Caenorhabditis elegans: one gene and its partner. The protein of the gene in region 1 purifies or fractionates together with the protein of each later gene. This does not show direct contact. Each region holds a gene or a part of one and is shown on either strand. Other genes may lie near its edges. The genes, in order: mig-1 and vang-1.

Evidence for each region.
Region 2: the proteins of mig-1 (region 1) and vang-1 purify together in Caenorhabditis elegans (affinity purification with western blotting; 2 studies listed by BioGRID). This does not show direct contact.

What each region holds. Positions count from the first base shown.
Region 1 is NC_003279.8:954,414-959,347, reverse strand, and holds the start of mig-1 (Frizzled-4), read left to right. Parts: upstream 1-1,841; 5' UTR 1,842-2,028; coding exon 2,029-2,156; intron 2,157-4,934.
Region 2 is NC_003284.9:2,883,718-2,891,235, reverse strand, and holds vang-1 (Vang-like protein), read right to left. Parts: upstream 5,379-7,518; 5' UTR 5,365-5,378; coding exon 5,209-5,364; intron 4,397-5,208; coding exon 4,263-4,396; intron 4,213-4,262; coding exon 4,080-4,212; intron 4,028-4,079; coding exon 3,809-4,027; intron 3,042-3,808; coding exon 2,599-3,041; intron 2,255-2,598; coding exon 2,036-2,254; intron 1,985-2,035; coding exon 1,816-1,984; intron 1,061-1,815; coding exon 935-1,060; 3' UTR 555-934; downstream 1-554. Other genes in the region: B0410.3 (Neuropeptide-Like Protein), read left to right, coding at 1-125, 186-365.

The DNA of each region.
Region 1 (4,934 bases):
AAAAACCTCATGTGCCTTTAAACTGAGGAGCCTTTCAATTTCTAATGGTTTTGTACAATTTCAGGAAAATTTTTTTTGCCCAAAATCAGTCATTAGATGGCTAAAAAAATTGGGCAAAAATAAAAATTTGCCTAAATTTGTTGAAAACGGGTAATTCATATATGCTGAATTCAGAAAATCTAGATTTAACCTATCAAAAACTATTGAAAAGTGGCAAAAATGGGTAACTTTTGAAAAAAATCACAATTTTGCGGAACTAAGCAGGGACTTTTTTGTTTTTGTGTAGAAGAAAAAACATTACCAGTTCAAAAAGTATTTGAGCACCAGTCTCGCCTATTTAGCTTATTTGACCTATTTGGCCTGTTTACCTATTCAACCTATACTGCCTATTTGGCATATTTAATCTACTTGGCCTATTTGCCTATTAGGCCTATTTGGGCCTATTGTAGAACAGTTTTAAAAATTGACTAAAAAGCTTAAAAAACACCAATCATTTCCCTCCAGTGTTCCAAAATTTGTTCATCGCAAGAAAGTTCCATCTTGTTTCTTCTGGTTATCTACACTCCCCAACAAAGTTACACAATGTGCACTTTTGGCTCGTTTGGTTCAATTGTTTCTGCCGGAAACGGGCGGAGGAAGAGATTCATACTTTTTTCCCAAGAAAAATTGAATTTCATTTTTCAAATTGTGAAATCATGTTAGGCCCTTTTCTCGGTCCTAATCAGGGGTGTGCGACAAATCTCAAAATTAGCCGTGCTCGGCTAATTCGGCAAATTTGGCAAATTTGCCGTGCTTAACAAATTCGGAAAAATTTGATATTTTTTGATGTTGTTTGGAGCACCGAAACTAATGAATTCTTAAAACAAATTTGTGTCGTTTTACTGAATTTTTGGAAAAAAATCAACAGGAGCTCGGCATCGGCACATTCGGCAAATTCGGCAAATTCGGCAAATCTCCTTTTTTGAAATATGCCGTGCTCGGCAAACTCGGCAAATTCGGCAAACGGCAAAATTGGCAAATTCGGCAAATCTACTTTTTTTGAAATATTCCGAGCTCGGCAAATTCAGCAAATCTACTTTTTTGAAAAATGCCGAGCTCGGCAAGTTCAGCAAATCTACTTTTTTGAAATATTCCGAGCTCGGCAAATTCAGCAAATCTACTTTTTTGAAAAATGCCGAGCTCGGCAAGTTCAGCAAATCTACTTTTTTGAAATATGCCAAGCTCGGGAAATTCGGCAAATCTACTTTTGTGAACTATGCCGTGCTCGGCTAAATAGGCAAATTTGCCGAGCTCGGCAAGTTCAGCAAATCTACTTTTTTGAAATATGCCAAGCTCGGGAAATTCGGCAAATTCGGCAAATCTACTGTTTTGAAATATGCCGTGCTCGGCTAAATAGGCAAATTTGCCGAACTCGGCAAACTCGGCAAATTCGGCAAATTCAGCAAATCTACTTTTTTGAAATATGCCGAGCTCGGCAAATTCGGCAAATCTACTTTTTTGAAATATGCCAAGTTCGGCAAATTTGGCAAATCTACTTTTTTGAAATATGCCGAGCTTGGCAAATTCGGTAAATTGCCGAGCTCGGCAAACAGCAAATTCGGCAAAAATTCGCCGCACACCCCTGGTCCTAATAATGATGATGATTGCCGTCTCCGTCCCCGCGCTCCTCCGTTATCATCAAATGATTTGCTGCTTCGATATATTTATTACAGGGCTCGTAAAAACTTCCACCCCCCCCCCTCTCTTCCTCTTTCGCCTCTCCATCTTTCAGCTCTCTTGGTCTCTGTTTCTCTATACCATTCATACAAATATCTGATAACCGCCAGCCATCTCCCAACACACACAACAGACACTCTTCCCGCCCCCCGTCCGTTTGGGTCATTTGTCAACGGACAGGCCGTGGTGGTGCTGCCACTGGTGTGCCCCCCCCCCCCCCCCCGCCTATCCTCCGTCTTTCTTCTCATTGTTTCTTTTACTCTCAATATTTTCCCCCACCCAGGCTGTGAGCCCCCAATTCCATTATCATTAATGGGACCATTTCGTGGTTACCTCGGAGTAACCTGGCTCCTGTTGCTCTTTGTGATTGGTGTGGACGGGCAGAGGTGTCAAAAGGTGGATCATGAGATGTGCAACGATTTGCCGTATAACTTAACGAGGTGAGTGAATTTTTTTTTGTTGGATGACGGGGTTTTTTCAAAATTTACTTCAAGATGGTTTTTTATAGAAACGCTAGGTTTTTTCTCGATTTTTAAGCAAAGTAGCAAATTTTCCAAATTATAGTTTTATATAGTTAAACTTAAAAAAGTCGTTTTTTTTTAAAATTTTTATTGATATTAATAAGCATGTGTACAAAATTAAGGGTCTAACTAGTTAGGTCCCAACTTCCAACTAGTCCTAACTAGTCCTACCTAAGTCCTAGTAAGTCCTAAATAGGTCCTAAGTTACAGGCCATACCAAGGTTCTAATTAGGTCTTAACTTGTCCTAACTAGTCCTACCAAAGTCCTAGTAAGTCCTTATTAGGTCTTCCCTAACAGGCCGTGCCCAGGTTCTAATTAGGTTCTAATTAGGTCATGACTAGTCCTACCTAAGGCCTGGTAAGTAGGTATTCCCTAACAGACCGTACCTAGGTGCTAATTAAGTTTTAACTAGTCCTAACTAGTCCTAACTATTCGTAACAAGAAATTTAGTCCTATTCAGTCCTAATTAGGCCCTAACTTACAGGCCGTACCTAAGATCTAATTAGGTCTTAACTAGTCAACTAGTCCAAACAATATCTTAACTAGTCCTGTCTAAATCCTAGCAAATCAAGTCTTAATTAGGTCCTAACTTACAGGATATATCTAGGTTCTAATTAGATTTTAACTAGTCCTAAATATTACTAACAAGATTATAACTAGTCCTCCTAAGTCCTAGTGAGTCCAAATTAGGTACATAACTAGTCCTAACTAGTCCTAACAATAACTAAACTAGCCCTGCCTAAGTCCTAGTGAGTCCTAATTAGGCCTTAACTAACAGACCGTGCCTATGTTCTAATTAGTTCTTAACTAGTATTAACTAGTCCTACTTAAGCCCTAGTATGTCTTAATTAGGTCCTAACTTACAGGCTATACCTAGATTCTAATTAAATTTTAACTAGTCCTAACTAGTCCTAACTATATCTTAACTAGTCCTACCTAAATCCTAGTAAGTCCTAATCAGATCTTCCCTAACAGGCCGTACCTAGGTTCTAATTAGGTCTTAGCTAGTCCTAACTAGTCCTAACAAGACATTAACTAGTCTTACCTAAGTCCTAGTAAGTCCTATTTAGGTCCTGACTTACAGGCCTTACCTAGGTTCTAATTAGGTCTTAACTAGTCCTAACTAGTACTTACTTCACCTATTTAGTTCCTAACTTTCTAAACATTTTTACCTGTACCCAAGCAGGCCTTAAGACTTAACTGTTCCTAAATAGTTACGTCCGAACTTTCTAGATAGTCTTACCTAGGTCCCAACTAGATTTTAACTAGTACTAAATCCTTAAAATATCAGCTTTACAGATTTGAAAGCGTTTTTGATAATTTTAAAGTTCTTTAATTATTTATTATCACACCTCTTAGTTATAATAATATAAGCTTTGAAAAAACTCAATTAGGTTAGGTAGTTTAATGCCTATTTCCCCCAAATTTTTCCCAACAAATACCAGGTGTAACACTTTGGAGGCCCATCGTCTCCTTCTCCTCCAGCATCAATTATAACGATTTACGAGCCTATGCTCTTCGAGCACACACACACACACACACACACATACACATTCCGTTATTATTGCCACCTGTTTTTTGCCAGCCAGCCACGTTTTCTTAAGGTCTTGTAGGGAATTTTATTACGCATCTCATATGGGGTCACACTTTTTTTTCACTTTTTCAAAATTTCTCCTCCAATAAATCAAAAACGTTGCTTGAAATTGCAACATACGGTCGCGAGGCCATGTGGCGCGCTTTTTCACTTTTTCCCTCTCAACTTCGCCATCTGGGGGACACAGTTTACATACCCTTGGTGTAGGACACCCCTCTGACCGTAAGGGGTTACCCGCCCGGGTTCTTGTTTACATATATATATATATATATATATATATATATAGTCCTAGTGAGTTCTAATTAGGTCCTAACTTACAGGCCATACCTATGTTCTAATTAGGTCTTAGCTAGTCCTAACTAGTACTTATATATATATATATATATAAACTTGTGAAGTGGTAGGTTACGATGACGTCACTTCTCTTCCACAATTTATTTTTCTCAAGTGTAAGTCGGTTCGAGAGGGAGAGCAACTGTTCTTCTGATATATACTACCGGAGATCTAGTGATTTAGTATTATTGTTTTATGAGGGGGATGAGATTGGAGGATCTTAAGTTTGAGGCTTATTGGATTTTGTGGGAGTAATTTATTAATTTATCAGTAGAGCAAGTTTGAAAAAAAATCCCCACATTTTTTGTAGATCAAACCACCCTTGCTCTACTTTGACAGCTTATATCTCGGCTCTCTTTTGTTTTATCAAAAAATACTAACTGACAAAAAACTTGAAAAATCTTTTTCTATATTTTTATAGTTGATCATTTTTTGATATAAGCCGGGAAAATACGGACAAATTTCCATTCTCTGGCGCAAAGCAAGGCCCAAAGCCTAAAGCCTAAAGCCCAAATCCCAAATCTCAGACCTCTTGCAAAAAGCAAAATTCACAAAAAAGTCTCTCCGAACAATTGATAGGAGCAGATAGGGGATGCTCTGCGGCAGTTGGACGGGAACCTGCGTCTCCACCTCCCGCCGTGCACTCTGCCTAGGCGCGTGAAATATGGACGAGCAGATAGTATAAGCCCGTCTATATATCACTTGTCACGTCCTCAGGCTCTCCGAGCACCACAAAACGCCCCTTTCTCCAAAACAAAGAAATGAGGGG
Region 2 (7,518 bases), on another chromosome or scaffold:
TCACAATCGTCTCGTCAATGAGTCTTCTCGATGCCTACAGATCTGAGAAATTGACGCGACGTCGGATAGGAATGCAAAACACTGATTTCCGTCCGATTCTTCATTTGCGCGGAGAAGATGATTGGGTAAGTCAATACTTTTCAATTTTTTAGATTTGAATCGGTTTTCACCAATACTGTTTTCAGCAAAAACAAATCAATGACAACTTCTCGCCCAACCAGTTCATGGATGAGAACGGTATTGTATATGATATGGATCCCACGATCAACGACAGAATTTCCACGTTTTTCAATAGTCAGAGAATCACCAGCAGTAGATTTGGAAGGAAGAAGAGAAGCTTGATGTTCCCGAGACTTTTTGTGTAATCCAACTTAAAACTATCTTGTTCGCATTTTTTTTCATATATCCGTTTCCTTCATTTTTCATAGCGTACTCTCGATTTGACATGTTCTCTCTAGTGATGTGTTACGGGTATTTCCTGATGTACATCTAATCAACATGCTAAGTCAGTCACACTCAAACAAATATACCACCTCTGATCTCATAAAAATGATTTTTCTTTCCATGATGTATTTTTTTTCTTTTTTTAAAATCAAATATACATAATAAATAATCACTTTTTTATTAAGAAAAACTTAAACTTGAATAAATTATTCATATCATATTGAAAAGGTACCAGACCATAAGTCAATGTGAAGAAACTTAAAGAAAAATAAATACTCGAAGAAGTAAGTGACGCAGCGCGATAGAGATGTCAAATGTCAGTCATTATCATCTCGGTCAGATGAGGAACCCGTACATAGAAACAGCATGATGTAGAATAAAAGTTGAAGAAAAGAAGCTAACAGGTAAAAAAAATTTTTTAAAAAACTGATCAAATCAAATGGGCATTTTTTTGGAAGTTTACTTGATGGCATGATGACTAGCCCACAAATCAAACTGCCGACTCATTGCTAATTTTTAAGGAAAACTTTTCATTTCCAGGTTTGGCTTGCTCGGTCAAATTGAAGAACGGAATACTCGAGATGGTGCAAACAAGTTGAACTCCGCAGTCGATATCCTGAAAAAAGGTAATATTAAACGGTTTAGCAAGTCTGAGAAGTAACTGTTTTTTTTTCGAGCGAAGTTTGAGTGAATCTTTTCAAAAATTTTAAAAATTTTGATGGCGGTTTCAAATTTTGCTTGAGATGTACCTAAGTCAACAAAATAGCGTAAGATAACTTACCGAAATTTGCAATATAAAATCATTCAAAGGTACATGGGTTTAGCAGAATAAAATGATAAAAATTTGTTGCCAATCGGCTTTAAATAATGCAGAAATACCAATTTTCGGATTTTATTCGTAATATTTTTTGTTAAAGTGTTTTTGTAATGCTCTTGCAACCCTACCGACCGATCAAGCATTTTTTTTTGAATGCAAAACTACTGGAGGAAATATGGGACATACTACTGCTATGGTGCCAAAAATGCCAAATATAACAGAAAAACGTTTCGAACAAAATTGAATTATTTTTTCAAAAAGTGACAATTACTCAGTTTTGCCACTCATAATGTTGGAAGTAGATTTAAAAAGTTGTTTCTACTATTTTGTTTACTTCAATTTTGTTTTAAACATTTGTGTTCGAACTTTGTAAGTGTCCGAACATGCGAAATTGCTCTACATTTTTTTAATGCTTAGACTTTTCAAAAATTTGGCACTTTGCCAATACGTTGTAAAATTCAAAAAATCTTTAAAAAATTTTGGAGTGTTTAATTATGATATTCGGTCGTTTTAAATGTGTATTTAGCTTCAACATTAACTTTTCAAAATCTTACTGGGTTGTGCGATTTGAGCACTAGATACGTTCCGTGTTGAACTCCAGAGCTCACCGCCTCGTCGCAAATTACCGACCATTTCGATTCCCCGACAATTTCCCGTTGGGGAATACGGTCACTGAAGAAGCGTTGGAGAAATGTTCGATGAGACAACTTGAGTGTTAGGCATCTGAAATTTGAAAGCTTAATCTTTGAATTCTGTTTATTAAAAAAAACGTACCTTTCAATGTGCCTCGTAACTTCTCCTGAAGGATGTCTTGACTGAAGACGAGTAGTTTTTAAATATTTGGTGAGCGGCCGGACAATCCATGTGAATACGTTTTGAGCAGCGGTCAGTGAGTCCATCTGGTTGTTAATTCCAGGCTTTTGGTTCGTTCCGGACTCGGCAGTGTTCTGAACATGGGAGAATGCGTCTTCGGCGGCGGCAATTAGGCGATACCTGTAAAGATTTTATGAGTTTCGAAAAGAGGCCATTTTTAAAAGCTTTGAACCGCCATAATTTTTTTTGAACAATTTTCAGAACTTCTCAATAAAAATTTCCTTAATTTTAGGCCATTTTGTGTCCAAAAAATCATTTCGCTACCTCAACTCTAAAATATAATTCCAACAGTTGTGACAGGGAAAAGTGGACAAAATTTGAAATTATAGCTTTGAAAAAAGTAATATAATATTTAGGAAGTTGAAACAGCCGTTTAAAAAAAGTTTTAAACTTTTTTGAGAAGTTTCATTACAAAATTTGTTCAAAGTATCCAAATCGTTAGTTCTGAATTTGAAAACACTTACTTTCTCTTCTTTAACCGTTTTTCAAAATCAAGTTCTTCCTGCATCACTTCAGCATATCCACCAATCCTTCTTCTCGCCGCGGCTTCCATCAAAGCCCGCGTGTTGACTTCACTAACAGTTTCCTGCCCTCCAAATTGCTCGATATTGTACATCTTGAAGCCTGCGGTGCCTCCTTGCATTCCAGACTGCTTTGCAACCGCCGTCTGTCTGGCGTTGTCAAGGTGAATGTTGAACGAGGAGAATCGAGTTGTGTAGAAACGAAGAATCTCGGTGGCAGCTTCTTGAATTGAGCCAGCGCCAATGTTCAATGTATGCATTTCACCGTCTGGATCGCGAACAATAGTTACAATGAATTGGGCACGTAGACGACGAAGCTCGAGGAGCACAACAGAGAGATAATGTGTCCATAGAAGAGCGTCGAGCAGTGATGTGGAATAGGAAACCTGAAATTATGAATTATGATTTCACAATTTTTTTTCGAAATGATTCATAGTGAAGTCGAACAGTATACCCGCTTCTGAATTTTCGCTACAAATTATGAACTTAAAAAAAATGGTTCAACAAATAAACTGTTGCCTAAAATTTTGTCCACATGATAACACAAGTTTCAACATTTTAAAAGACTAAGTTACAGCGGCCGACACCTCGCGAGCCAATTTTTTTGCCACATCTCATGACTGTAACTCAAGAATGAACAGTTTTCATGAGCAAAGTTTTAGTAACAAATAATCCGCAAATAATTTTATATTGCATGTTATCAATCGTTTTTTCTTACGCAATCGGTAGAATTGAAAATTTCGGTTGAAAATCTGGTCATTTTTTTCAAAAATATTTTTAGGCATTTATTTTAAATAACTAATGTTTACACTTTTATTCACATTTGAACTGAAAGTTTTAGAACAATTTAACCTCCATTTTCAGAAATTGTTCACGATGAGTGCCGGCATTGCTACACCTTTAAAGGGACGTGGCAAAAAAAGGACTTACGAGGTGCCCGATGCTATATCTTTTGATTTCAATGACTTAATTTATTGAAACCTGAGTTATCAAGTAGACAACATTCTAGGTAACAGTTATGTAGTTGAATTTTAATTTTTAGGGTACCTAGCTTGTGCGCTATACTAATTTGAAACTATAAAAAAAGCCAGCAAAAAAATCCCAAAAACGCATATACTTTTGGCCACCACTGTGTTTGAAAAAAAAAACCTACGATGTACTTGTAGTTGTCGTATCTTTCAAACATTATCCTGACAATGTAAAAGAGCCAAAACGCGAACAGGATAAACATGACTAAAAATGTAAGCGCAGCTCGTACAAAGTACAACCTGGGCATGTCTGCCATGGCTTTCCTCCAATAAAGAACTCCAATTGCAATTACCAAAAAGATTGTTTTGATTGCCATTAAAAACAGGAGTCCTTCACAATCGACCTGCAATACATTATATTTTTAATGCGATATAATTGGTTTTCGAAATACTCACGTCACATTGAATTGCCGGCATGCTGAAGCCGAAACGTGGTGCGATTATAGGCAATGAACACATTATCGGCGCACTGACCACCGATATAATGCAAAGTAACGACGAGGCCAACAGCCAGACAAACCTAGAGCACCTGAATTTCAATAGTTATAAAAAGTGAAATTAGAAAAAAAGAACATTTACCGTCTTCCTATGACACGTCCAATTGGTGGGGTATAAATCACTTTTTCTTCCATTGTGAAAGAATCCGTCGTCATTCCAGTGAGCACGGTGGTGTTGTCTGCCCAGTCTTCGTTAGGTGGTGCAATCTTCTGGCCCTGCAAATGAATTATAGATGTACTCAAAAATAGATTTTCCAAAAGTGAAAACGCAAAGCGATAAGATATGTATATCGACTCGGCGTTTATGACATTTTAAATTTTAGATAAGATATTTGGTCGGCTTATATCTTATTTTGACACATCTGAACAAAGAATTTAAGGAGTTTCAGAAACTGAATTAAAAACGAATTTCGTAATAAAACTTCTAAAAAATATTTATGGGAGGTTCAATATTTCGAAAAAAAAGACGAATTTTTTTAAAAAATTCTCAAATTTTGGCCACGTTTCCGTGACACAGCAGTTTTTTTGTTTTTTTTTATTGAATATTTTGGTTGTTTATCTCACGGTATTTCATTTATTTATGTTTTTTAAAAACTTTACCAAATCTCTTCGTTCATCGCCTTTAAAATAATTAAATAAAGTTGAAAACGCAGGATAATTACATTGTATACTCAAAATTTTACGGAAATTTCAAAAAAAAAGATTCCAGCCGCAACGACATTGACGAGTAGGACAAATTTCAAATTTTAACTAATTTCAGGCCTACTTTTTAAGGAACTTTTTAAGCGAATAGATAATCAAAAATTACCTGAATTGGTTACCTACTGGCATAAAAATTGCCTGCTCAAAATGTGAAAAAATTAACCCTTTCTTTAAATTTTAAACCGACTAAAAACATTTTGAACACTGTTGAGAAGTTTCATTACAAAAAAAATGTGTTCATTTTGAGCACATATTGGTACCCAGAGCCGTTACTCCTCATTTAATTGAGTTTCATTTTAAAATGTATCTTCAAAAAAAAGGCTTACCTCACTAGCAATTGCAGAAAACCTCGGTATAAATGGCTCGCCAATTTCAGATTGTGCATATCTTGGTCGTAGTTGCTTCTTGTGTCCTTCATACCGAAAACCTCCAACGCAACTCCTCGTGTCTTTCGGAAGTTTCCTGTTATCTTGATACGACATGTTCCACCTGAAAAAAAAAATCTCTCCAAAAATTTTGATCCATTGAAAAGAATGAGATTTATAACATATTATATTTCATGTAACAAAAAAAATCCGAACGGAACGATAGATTGGCAAAGACAATTTGTGAAAAGAGATAAAACGAGCCCTTCGGGTTGCGCACACGCCGTCATAACATTTTCGTTCCACACACACACACACAACCGCAAGTAAACGATCCATCCACGATCAATGACAAACGAGTGGACGGAAAAGAGGGGACCCCGAAAAGAAAATAACCTCTAACACATTATGCAGCGTCCTCCTCTTTCTCCTTCCACTGCTTGCCCCAGCGCAACCCATTCGGCCAGTGTGTGCGTATGTGTGGTGTGGTCAGAGGCGAGCGGGGAATGGGAAGAGGAATGGTGAGTGAGCGTGCGTGTGTGTGTGTGTGTGTGTCTACTACTATCCGCTAGGCCGCACCAGATGCGGGGCTTTTCGAAAAACGGACCCCCGGACCGGAGCATCTTTCTTGTCACCCCTTGGAGCCGGTTTTCATCTCCCAATGGTCGTCAATTACATGCGACACTCATTGGTGATTTCAAAGAGCGGATTTGGGTAGAAGAAAACCGAAAAGTAAGATTTAGCTGACGGGCTCCTTATTTTGTGACGAAACATGTATCTATTTTAGGTACTTGTGTAATATACCTAGCTCAAAAATATGTTTCAATACGTTTTCCATTCATTTCTTTTAAAAATTACAATTTAAACAAAACGTGAAATTGATTTGTATTCTTAGGTTTAGAAAAACATTAATCCTTATGGACATAGTATAGAACATAATTACGTAAAATTTTCAAAATGATTAATATTTTAAATCCAGGTATACTTTCACAAGTACCGCATTTTAGATAGCTGAGAAAATCATAAAATAAGAAAATATGGCAACCTGGCAAGATATAAAGCTTTAGGACTATTGAAAAAGTTGAATTCTAAACAGCTCGGTACAATAAAATTAGCATCAATCCGTCAAGAGGTGAACGAAAAATGGAAAGACGACAAATCAGGGGTGTGCAGTAACAAAGATGAGTGGGGTGAAAATGGTGTGAGAGGCGAAGGTGTGCGCGCGCAGACACACCACTCCAAAGAACCACAACGGTTACGTAGATAACACAACAGTAGTGCAAATGGTAATTTCATTGGAGCACATTTGCAAGTGTAAGTGAAAATTGGGATCTATGCATCGATTGTTTAGTGTGACAATCGAAAGGTGCTAGAATGCTTCAACCGTAATTTTGTCAACGTTTTGTTGTTCTAATATTTATTTTTTGGTACTTGTGTAGCAGGAGCAAGCGACAAATTTGCCGAATTTGTCAAGTTCACCATTTGCCAAGCTCGGCAAATTTCAAAACAGTATGTTTGGGGAATTTGCCGAGCTCGGCAAATTTCGAAATTTTCCGCACACATCAAAAGTTTGAAAAACAATTTTGACTAAAACTACTGATTTTGACCTCAAAAATTTCAAAAAAATGACACACAAACTCACGGAACTTATGCAGAAACCAGATGTTTTTTCTGAACGCAGTAGTTTTGGTATGGAATAAATTGAAAAAATTCAACAACTCATTTCTAATGTATAACTTTGTTAAATCACAAAGAAACACTTTTTTTTCAAAAATTTTGTTATGTCTCTAATATGAAATATAGCATAAATAGGTATACATTTGTCAGAAGTTTGTATTCAAGAGTAAAAAAAGCCCCTCAGGGAAGGCAAATATCATAGTGAAAAACTCTAAAATGGCGGAATTGAAATTACCGGCAAATGGGCATACCAAAAAACTGCCAATTTGCCAAATTTGCGCGCAACCTCGGCACTTGCCGTAAGTTTTTGGCAAATTGTGGTTTTGCACATTTTTTTTTTAATTTCAGCATTTCAATTTCAGCCGGCAAAATTGTATGGATCCTATAAATGTTCCTACATCAATTTTGAAAAGTAAGCTAATTCTTTTTAAAAATATCTTTTAAAAAAGGAAAAAATTCAAAAAAACACAGTTTTAAGTGCTTCCGTTTTATAAAATGTCCAATCAATCTCCCCACTGGCGCTCCGCCACCTTTAAATAAGTTTTCCGTTTACAAAACCTCAAAAATTTTTGCAACGGAAACATTTTTCAAAAA